Neurospora crassa OR74A: one gene and its partner. The protein of the gene in region 1 interacts with the protein of each later gene in a pairwise test. Links are inferred from orthologs where the notes say so. Each region holds a gene or a part of one and is shown on either strand. Other genes may lie near its edges.

What was found.
Region 2: the proteins of NCU03440 (region 1) and NCU07989 interact in binary tests that used the Saccharomyces cerevisiae proteins (3 or more experiments, as listed by UniProt). The link is inferred for Neurospora crassa OR74A from reciprocal best matches to the Saccharomyces cerevisiae genes APL3 and APS2.

Annotation. Positions count from the first base shown.
Region 1 is NC_026502.1:713,381-717,582, forward strand, and holds the start of NCU03440 (AP-2 complex subunit alpha), read right to left. Parts: upstream 2,842-4,202; 5' UTR 2,194-2,841; coding exon 1,984-2,193; intron 1,899-1,983; coding exon 1,609-1,898; intron 1,547-1,608; coding exon 1-1,546. Other genes in the region: NCU03439 (hypothetical protein), read left to right, coding at 3,294-3,524, 3,610-4,202. UniProt on the Saccharomyces cerevisiae protein: Adaptins are components of the adaptor complexes which link clathrin to receptors in coated vesicles. Clathrin-associated protein complexes are believed to interact with the cytoplasmic tails of membrane proteins, leading to their selection and concentration.
Region 2 is NC_026504.1:3,822,466-3,826,358, forward strand, and holds NCU07989 (AP-2 complex subunit sigma), read left to right. Parts: upstream 1-1,304; 5' UTR 1,305-1,898; coding exon 1,899-1,930; intron 1,931-2,086; coding exon 2,087-2,156; intron 2,157-2,233; coding exon 2,234-2,563; 3' UTR 2,564-3,350; downstream 3,351-3,893. Other genes in the region: NCU07988 (ATPase family AAA domain-containing protein 1), read right to left, coding at 57-721, 786-845; NCU07990 (hypothetical protein), read right to left, coding at 3,659-3,893. UniProt on the Saccharomyces cerevisiae protein: Component of the adaptor complexes which link clathrin to receptors in coated vesicles. Clathrin-associated protein complexes are believed to interact with the cytoplasmic tails of membrane proteins, leading to their selection and concentration.

The sequences.
Region 1 (4,202 bases):
ATTGGCAGATGAAGATCCGTTGGTGGCTCCGGCGGCCGGGGCAGCACCGCCGTTGGCTGGTCCGGTCTTGGTGCTAAAGGTCCGCCTGAGGCTGGCTTTCTTGGCCAGGCTGAGCTCTGCACTGTCCGCGTTGGCATCCTTGCCACCAACAATCCAGGTCCTCTTGTCGCTGGTGTTGGCGTGCTTCTGGTGTAGCCTCGAGAGCAGGGCGGATTCTCTTTCGGGGAACGGTGGCATTTCATCGCACACCGTTCGAAGGAGGTCGTCTGTGGGCAAGCTTGCGATGGCCAGGAACTCGCAGGCACGCTGTTGCAGTTCCGCATCGAGCGCGTGGCTATAGACGTGGAACACGTTGACGAGCTGCGGCTTGATTTCCGGAAACAAGTTGACAAACTTGATGAAGCACGAGAGGATCATGGCTCGTGTGCTGGAGGAGCATGCAGGAAGCTTGCCTTGAAGGGCCAGGAACTGCTCTATAGGACTGGAGCCCCTCTCCTCGGCAATCAGATGGCCGAACTCACCCAGGATATAGGCACCAATCTTGACAAGCGTCTCGTGGCAGTGGTCCTGCTTGCAGTACTGGAGAATATTCTGGGCTGCATACACCTGAAGCTCCTCGTTGTTCGTAACAATCTGCGTCACTCGCTGCCAAACTTCGTCGCTGACGTGGTCACCAGCCATGGCAATCAGGCGCAAAGAAATGTCAACATACCATTGCACGTCGGTGGCGTACTTTTCCGTGAGAATGGCAATCTTGAGCACCATTTCCTCTCGGATGGCAAAGTCGGCATTCTGTAGGTAGTGTAGCAACTCGGCCACGATCTGCTGGGCATTGGACGTGTCGCACATGCTGTACAGCAGGTCGAGACCCTTCCTCCGAACACTGATATCCCTGTCCTTCAGAGAGCCGATAATCACATCCTGGTGCTGCTTGATCGGTTCCAGGGTGTCGGTTCGTGCTGCCAAGTGTGTCATGGCCTCGAGACCGAGATAGCGGACATTGGTCTCTCGCGATTGGATGAACCGGCCAAGTCTCTGGGACACCTGCTTCATGAGGTCATGCTCGGTATCGAGATGGATGATGAGGTTGATAGCCTCGAACAGGACGGCGTTTTGCGCATTGTTCTGCTGAACGTTCTTCTGACTCTCCACAGCCAGGTTGAGAATCTTCTGCAGCGACTCCCGGATCATGGACCGGACATGGCTATCCTCGGATGGCGGGAAGTACTGCAGTAATCGTAGAAGCTTGACCTGGATCCATGGACAAGGCACCTTGTAGTAGAGGTAGTCCTGGCTAAACTCGCCGTCGATGAGAATCCGTTTTAGCCTGGCGGCGGCTTTAACATAGGCACCCTTGTATTGCTCCGTGTTATCCTGCGCCAGCGCCATGACAAGGGATGTTACCGATAAGGCCACGCCGAGGTCGGTATCGTCCATTATAGATATTATACGTTCCGCCCATTGAGCCTGGACAATATCGGGGTTTTTGCGGTATAGTCGGAGTAGCGTGAGTGCCGCCTTTTTCTTAACGAACGCCTTCGATGTTCTATAAACCGAGTTAGTATGACAATGCGCCGCTTCCAGATGTAATAGACAAAAACCACGTACGGGGAAATCAGAAGCCTGTGAACCTCGGGACTCAGCGCTTCACCCATCTCCTTGCCACCGACGTTCGCAATGGCGTGCAGCGCCAGGCAGTTGAACAGCTCGTTATGGTCCATCAAGTCCTTGCGAATGCTGTTGACGACCAAGTGTAAAAGCTCGTGCTTCTCGTGGAGGAATAGGGTCATAGCGAGGTAACCGATCTGCTTTTCCGAGTACTTGGTGGCCGAAATTAGATTAACGGCCTCTAGGTGGCCAAAGTCGACGTTCCATCCCAGAATGTAGATATAAAGCAGCTATTTGGGCATTGGTTAACCGTGGTGTTCTTGCTCTTGCTGGTGGTACAAGTGGGCGCTCAGGGGGTTTTGGCGTGGCGCATACCTTGCAAACGTATTTCTTCTTGTGATAACCACTTAGGCTGCCGTCCTTGAACTTTTGACGGATGTTGGCCAGCTCCTTGTTGATCCGCTTCTCCTCGAGTTCCCTAGCCCGAGCATTTCTGAGATCGGCAATGAACTGGACCAAGCCGCGCATGTTGGAGTTGCTGCTGGACGAGCGGCCCAGGAAGCCGGTTCCTGTTGACGACGACATTATGGCGGTTGTGCTGAGTTGGCCCGGGGTATCTTGTTGTGATTAAGTTTTGTATTCGAGCTTCTCTGAGTCTGACTGTTCGGTCACGTATACACGGTGGTATCGTCCAGCAGGAGCTTTTTCTCTACGCGGTTTCCGGAGAGCCAAATAATTCTGCTTTGCTTTTTTATGCCGACCTTTTCACACTGAGAGCATCACGAGCAACAGGATTGATCCATCGACATTCGATAATTAACAAGCTAATAACCGTGGCAGCACGAGTGGTGGTCGTCGGAGTTTAGTGTTGTGTATGAATGGTGGAAGTTGCGGTCGGCGCGGCGGCTGACAGCATCGATCGATGTCACTTCGTTCGGTTTCGAAGTGCTGAGTGGTCAACCAAAAGTGGAAGTTCGCGATGCGCTTCGTTCGGTTCGATGTTTCGTCGTGGTGTACAGGGTATCGGACAGTCGACTGAGACAAAAGACAGGAACCAGGGTCGCGGAGACAATGAAGGGCTGGCAGAAACACACACTTGTCGGGTTCAGTTCGCGACGTGTGCTGTGTCGAGTTGGGGAAGGTCGGCGTGGTCGGCGGCTCCGGACTGGTTGTTGGTTGACGACGAGGATTCTCAGGGGAGGGGACTGGCGGACGGCGACGGGCGGATTGGCGATTTCCTCCACTGCAAAATAAAGGGGATCTCCATCCAATAAGTTCAGTTTTAACCCGCTGAGGGAATACGATACGTACCGTACCGGCGTACCTATGGACCTCTACTGGGTGCCCTGGCCCCCCCGCGAACCTCGCTAGCCAGCGGGCAACCACGCTGTAACATGTACTTCTAGCGCTTCTCTATCACGACCAAGGGCGCCACAATACCCCCTTTTTGTGGCTAGTCGCACTTATAAACCCCGGCAAGAAATGTGGCTTCCACGCTACATCGAGCCTGAGAGGAGCTATGACGATTTAGATGCGCCTTGGCATCCACCAATCCGCGGTACCTCGATGTCCGGCGTAGGTAGCATCGATTAGTTGTCTTCAAACCCAAACTTCCCCTCTCAACTCTTGCCTATCATGCCAAAGCCGGGCTCGAGTTGTGACGGCTTCACTAGTGTACTCCGAGGATGCGGCTGACTTTGGCTCCAGTCTGCCGGCCGCAGCAATGGAAACCGCTCCTCACGGGCGGGACGGCCCGTCGATCATATGCCTTTCAGTCCGGCAGCCTCAACTTTGAAGTCTTCAACCGCCGCGCAAAGTGGTTGCAGAAGGAGAGGGCAGCTGCCAATGTTGAAGGGGGCCGTCAAGCCGACTACCTCAAGGATGAGGTCGCCATGCGCGTGTGCGAACGTCTTTTGGTAAAACATACCCCGTCTCCCTCTCCTCTCTTCTTTTATACTGTCTGTCATATGATATCGAACTAACCTCATCCCACCCCTCCAGGACGTCAAACGCCAATTTCCCCGCGTCCTCGACCTCGGCGCAAACTCCTGCAACATCGCCCGCGCCCTCCTCCGCCCAGACCCGGACCCCGAATCCGAGCCCCCGGTCACCGACCCCCTAGCCACCAAGATCACCGAGCTCGTCGCTGCCGAATCCTCCCACTCTCTCCTCCACCGGGACCACGACCACCCCTCTCTCTCCACCACCCACGTTCCCGACTTCAAGCTCACGCGCCACGTCCTCGAACACGACGAGCTCCTCCCCTTTGAGCCCGACTCCTTCGACATGGTGCTCAGCAGCATGTCCATGCACTGGATCAACGACCTGCCGGGCGTGCTCTCGCAGATCAACAGCGTGCTGAAGCCCGACTGCCCCTTCATCGGCGCCATGCTCGGCGGCGACACCCTGTACGAGCTGCGCACGTCTCTGCAGCTGGCGGAGCAAGAGCGCAAAGGAGGAATCTCGCCTCACGTGTCGCCATTGGCGGACGTGCGCGACGTCGGCGGCCTGCTGCAGCGCACGGGGTTCAAGATGTTGACGGTGGACGTGGAGGACATCGTGGTGGACTACCCGGACATGTTTGCGCTGATGCA
Region 2 (3,893 bases), on another chromosome or scaffold:
CCGGAAGCCCAAGGTTACACAGGGCGCATTTTGAAGTAGAGCAAAGGGTCACTTACTCGGCTTTAACCATGCCGCTAGCCTCATGCTCTCCGCTTCTCCTTGTTCCCAAGACGGCATCGATCTCGTCAATGAAGATGATGGCCGGCTGCAGCTTTAGCGCAAGCGAGAACACTGCGCGTACAAGCTTGTTGGAGTCGCCGTACCACTTTTCTGTAAGAGTCGAGATATGCAGATTGATGAACGAGGCGCCGCTCTCGTGCGCCACAGCTTTGGCCAGCATGGTCTTTCCGCAGCCAGGAGGGCCATATAGCAAGACGCCCGAAGGCGCGGACAGTAGCGTGCCGCCATGCGAATAGAGCTGCGGCATCGTGAGCGGGTAAATGATGGCTTCCCTGACCTCCTCAATAATCTCGTCTAGACCGCCGATATCGTCGAACCCAACCGGGATGTCCTCGGGCGCAACTACTTCCAGCGCTACCTGGCTCTCGTACTCGTTGAGAATGAGGTCCTCAACCCGCACGGTGGAGGGTGAGTCTTCGGGGACCTCATCGTCGGCGAACTCGTCGTTGGCAACTTTGGATTTGTCTCGTGACTTTTGTATCCTGGCCAGATTTTGTTGAGCTTTCAGCCTGTTTTGGTCGTGCTTAGCACGGTCGGGGTCGATGAGCTTTGCGACGTGGGGGGCGACGTAGTCACGGAAGATGAAGTATACGGATATTGTCTGGAGAGCAAAGTGTCAGCAGATTGTGGTGGGCGCATTGCATCGCGATTAGCAGGGCCCGTACGGTAGCAGCTAGTAGTAGCCCGGACATGATGTCCTTGGCCACACGCTTATTATCGGTCATTTTGACTTGAAGAGTGAGCCCTGGCCGGGTCGGGAGGGGAGTTGACAGCCCGCGGGTCGCATCCAAGAGTTGAGGGCTCTTTTGTCGTGGACGTCGTGATCGGAGGACTGGTAAGAGGATACAAGATGTATAGAGAAACAAGGGCTAATGCAACGAAGCGAACGGCATGCACCGGGCAGCAGCAGTAGTTGTTGTTCGCGTCCAAGTCAATGGACGTGACTGATGGAGGATGGGAACTTGAACTGAATCATCAAAAGTTGAAAATGGGTCCCCTCGAACGGTGGTCCTCGGCTTCAGCTTGCCATGTGCACTGCGTTCGGCCCAGAGAATGGGGCGCCACCCCAGTGGCTACAATCGATGTGACCTGACCTTGTCAATCTTGCCAAGACCTCACACACTTGTCCCCATTACAGTGAATGGTCCCGACTCCCTTGCTTCCGTTCGATCGATCGAACCTGACAAAGATTGGACTCGAACTGGAACGGCACCGCACTGAAACCAAGCGCCAAAACAACGACTCCAGTCGCACTGCGACACGTGAAGACGCGGCGCCTGCCCTGGGCGGATAGCGCAGCTGCTATCGATAAGCTCCTACAAGTGCCAAGAGTTGCCCCCTATCGGATCGCATCAGATGGAAATCAGCCAGGGTTCCCTCCATTCCGCCTCCACTGCCGCTGTGAACGAGCACCTCGATGGACGACGGAAAGGAAAGCTCGGGCCCCACTCACCCCTGGGCGGCTCGTATGGACGCGGCTCATCCCAGAGGGACGACAGCAGGACTTCGACATCACCGCTAGCAATTCCATAATCCGTATCTAATCATTTACACAACACCATCTTTTCCCTTCCCGTCGATCCTTTGTACGAACATCGATTTACGTCGCATGTGAGATCCAATACCACGCGGTTCTAGTGCCGGGCAGTTCAATAAAGCAACGGCGGATTCGCGGTTCGGTTTGGTTCTCTTTACACTTTCTGTGTATTGTTTTTCAACTTGGCAACTTTCAGACGGCCGCCCGCCTCGCTGTTGTCGCAAAAGTATAATTTGCAGCCATGTTGTCTTTCATTCTCATCCAGAACCGACAGTACGTACCCTTACCTCCTCTTCTACTACATACAAGCGCATCATGTGTCGCAAAGTCGCAACATCATATAGCAGATGTGCCACACCATACACCATACACATACATATCTAAAAGTCCATTGTCGCAAACTCGATAGACTAACACCACCAAACAAAGGGGTAAAACCCGTCTAGCAAAGTGGTATGTCCCCTACAGCGACGAAGAAAAGATCAAGCTCAAAGGCGAGGTATGTCCAGTTTTCCCTCTCCCCCCTTCCCTTCCCCCTTACTTAACCTCCCCTTCTAAATTCTTCACATCCCCCAGATCCACCGCCTAGTAGCCCCCCGCGACCAAAAATACCAATCCAACTTCGTCGAGTTCCGCAACCACAAGGTCGTGTACCGACGATACGCGGGCCTGTTCTTTTGCGCCTGCGTCGACACGAACGACAACGAGCTAGCCTATTTGGAGGCCATCCATTTCTTTGTCGAAGTGCTGGACAGCTTCTTCGGCAACGTGTGCGAGCTGGACTTGGTCTTCAATTTTTACAAGGTGTACGCCATCCTGGACGAGGTGTTCTTGGCGGGCGAGATTGAGGAGACGAGTAAACAGGTTGTCTTGACGAGGTTGGAGCATTTGGATAAGCTGGAGTGATGACGGAAGGAAATAAGGCGTTGGAAGGGAAGAAAAGGGCGAAACGGATAAGGGGCTAGGAGCCAAGGGGGGTGGATGAATGCGGAAAAAAAAGGGGGGCGGGGGGCGGCTGACTGACGAACCGCGACCGACCGGCCGACCGACCGACACACCAAAATATCAACCAGGGGCTTGGGATGGACGACGACGAATACTGACTTCCGCACTTGGACGGCTCTCGGCAATTCCAGCCGAACATACGGGTGCAGTAACGAGGTCTGACCTTCTGCCGGAATCGTTCGAACGACCCAGACCCTCGACCCCATCAACACAGAGCTGAGCTGGCTGGACCTTACATGACCACGACCCTCGGACGGGAAAGCTTTGGGTTAGTAGACGTCAACCCCTGCCGTCCACACTTCCAATGAGAGAAACGATCACCGACTATCCAAGCATCGAAAAGGGATGACAAGAGAGAAGGACGCGAAGAGGTGGTTACATATACCCATATCACACATAAGGGGCAGGAACATGTTCAGCAAACACTGAACAAGCAAGCTGCCTATTCTACCACACCAACAGCCCCTTATATATCAGGGCTTCTGAGCTTATACTTAGAGTAATCGATCAACTAATCTTACAAAGACACCGCGTCGCGAGATCCGAAACGCATTGCTCTATGAAATATTGGTGTTCCTTCACGACTCTGCCTGAGAAGCTTCCGATGTTCTCTTCCAAAGCATGAAGTTTTCGTCAGTGGCAAATAAATGAACCGTCTCTGCAGCTCAGCAACGAAGCGAGCCTCAATGGCCGGTATTGACACTATTGTGTGGTGCTCGCCATGAAGTGAACCCTGCGCTGCAAAAAAATTCGGGTATCTACCTGCCGTTGTCACCAAAAAAAAGTTGCAGAATTAACTTTGACCATGGAGAGACGTTCGTCGACTTGGACATGCACCAAAGGGATGTTTCAATTCTAAACAACTGTTTGCTTGCTTGCAATCTGTATCGAATCGTGAAACGAGACCATAAGAGGTATTTGACGCCATGATCCAAGTAAGTCCGTAGCATATCTTGCCAACCTGTCAACAGACTGGCCTGGAGTCAAGTGCAGACACTACTGCGCCTTCGACCCCTCGAAGACTGTGACGTCCACTTGATCTTCAGGCTGAGAAATCGTAACCTCAACAGGTTCAAGGTCCGCTTCAACGTGAATCACGTCCTTGATGGCCGTCTCAGATTTGCTATTGTCTCCAATCTCCTCTGCGCCCTCCATTGGCGTGCAATTTTCATGGTCATGTACTGTGGCCCCATGCCCAGGCTTGACTTTGCGGACGATATCAGCGCTCTCA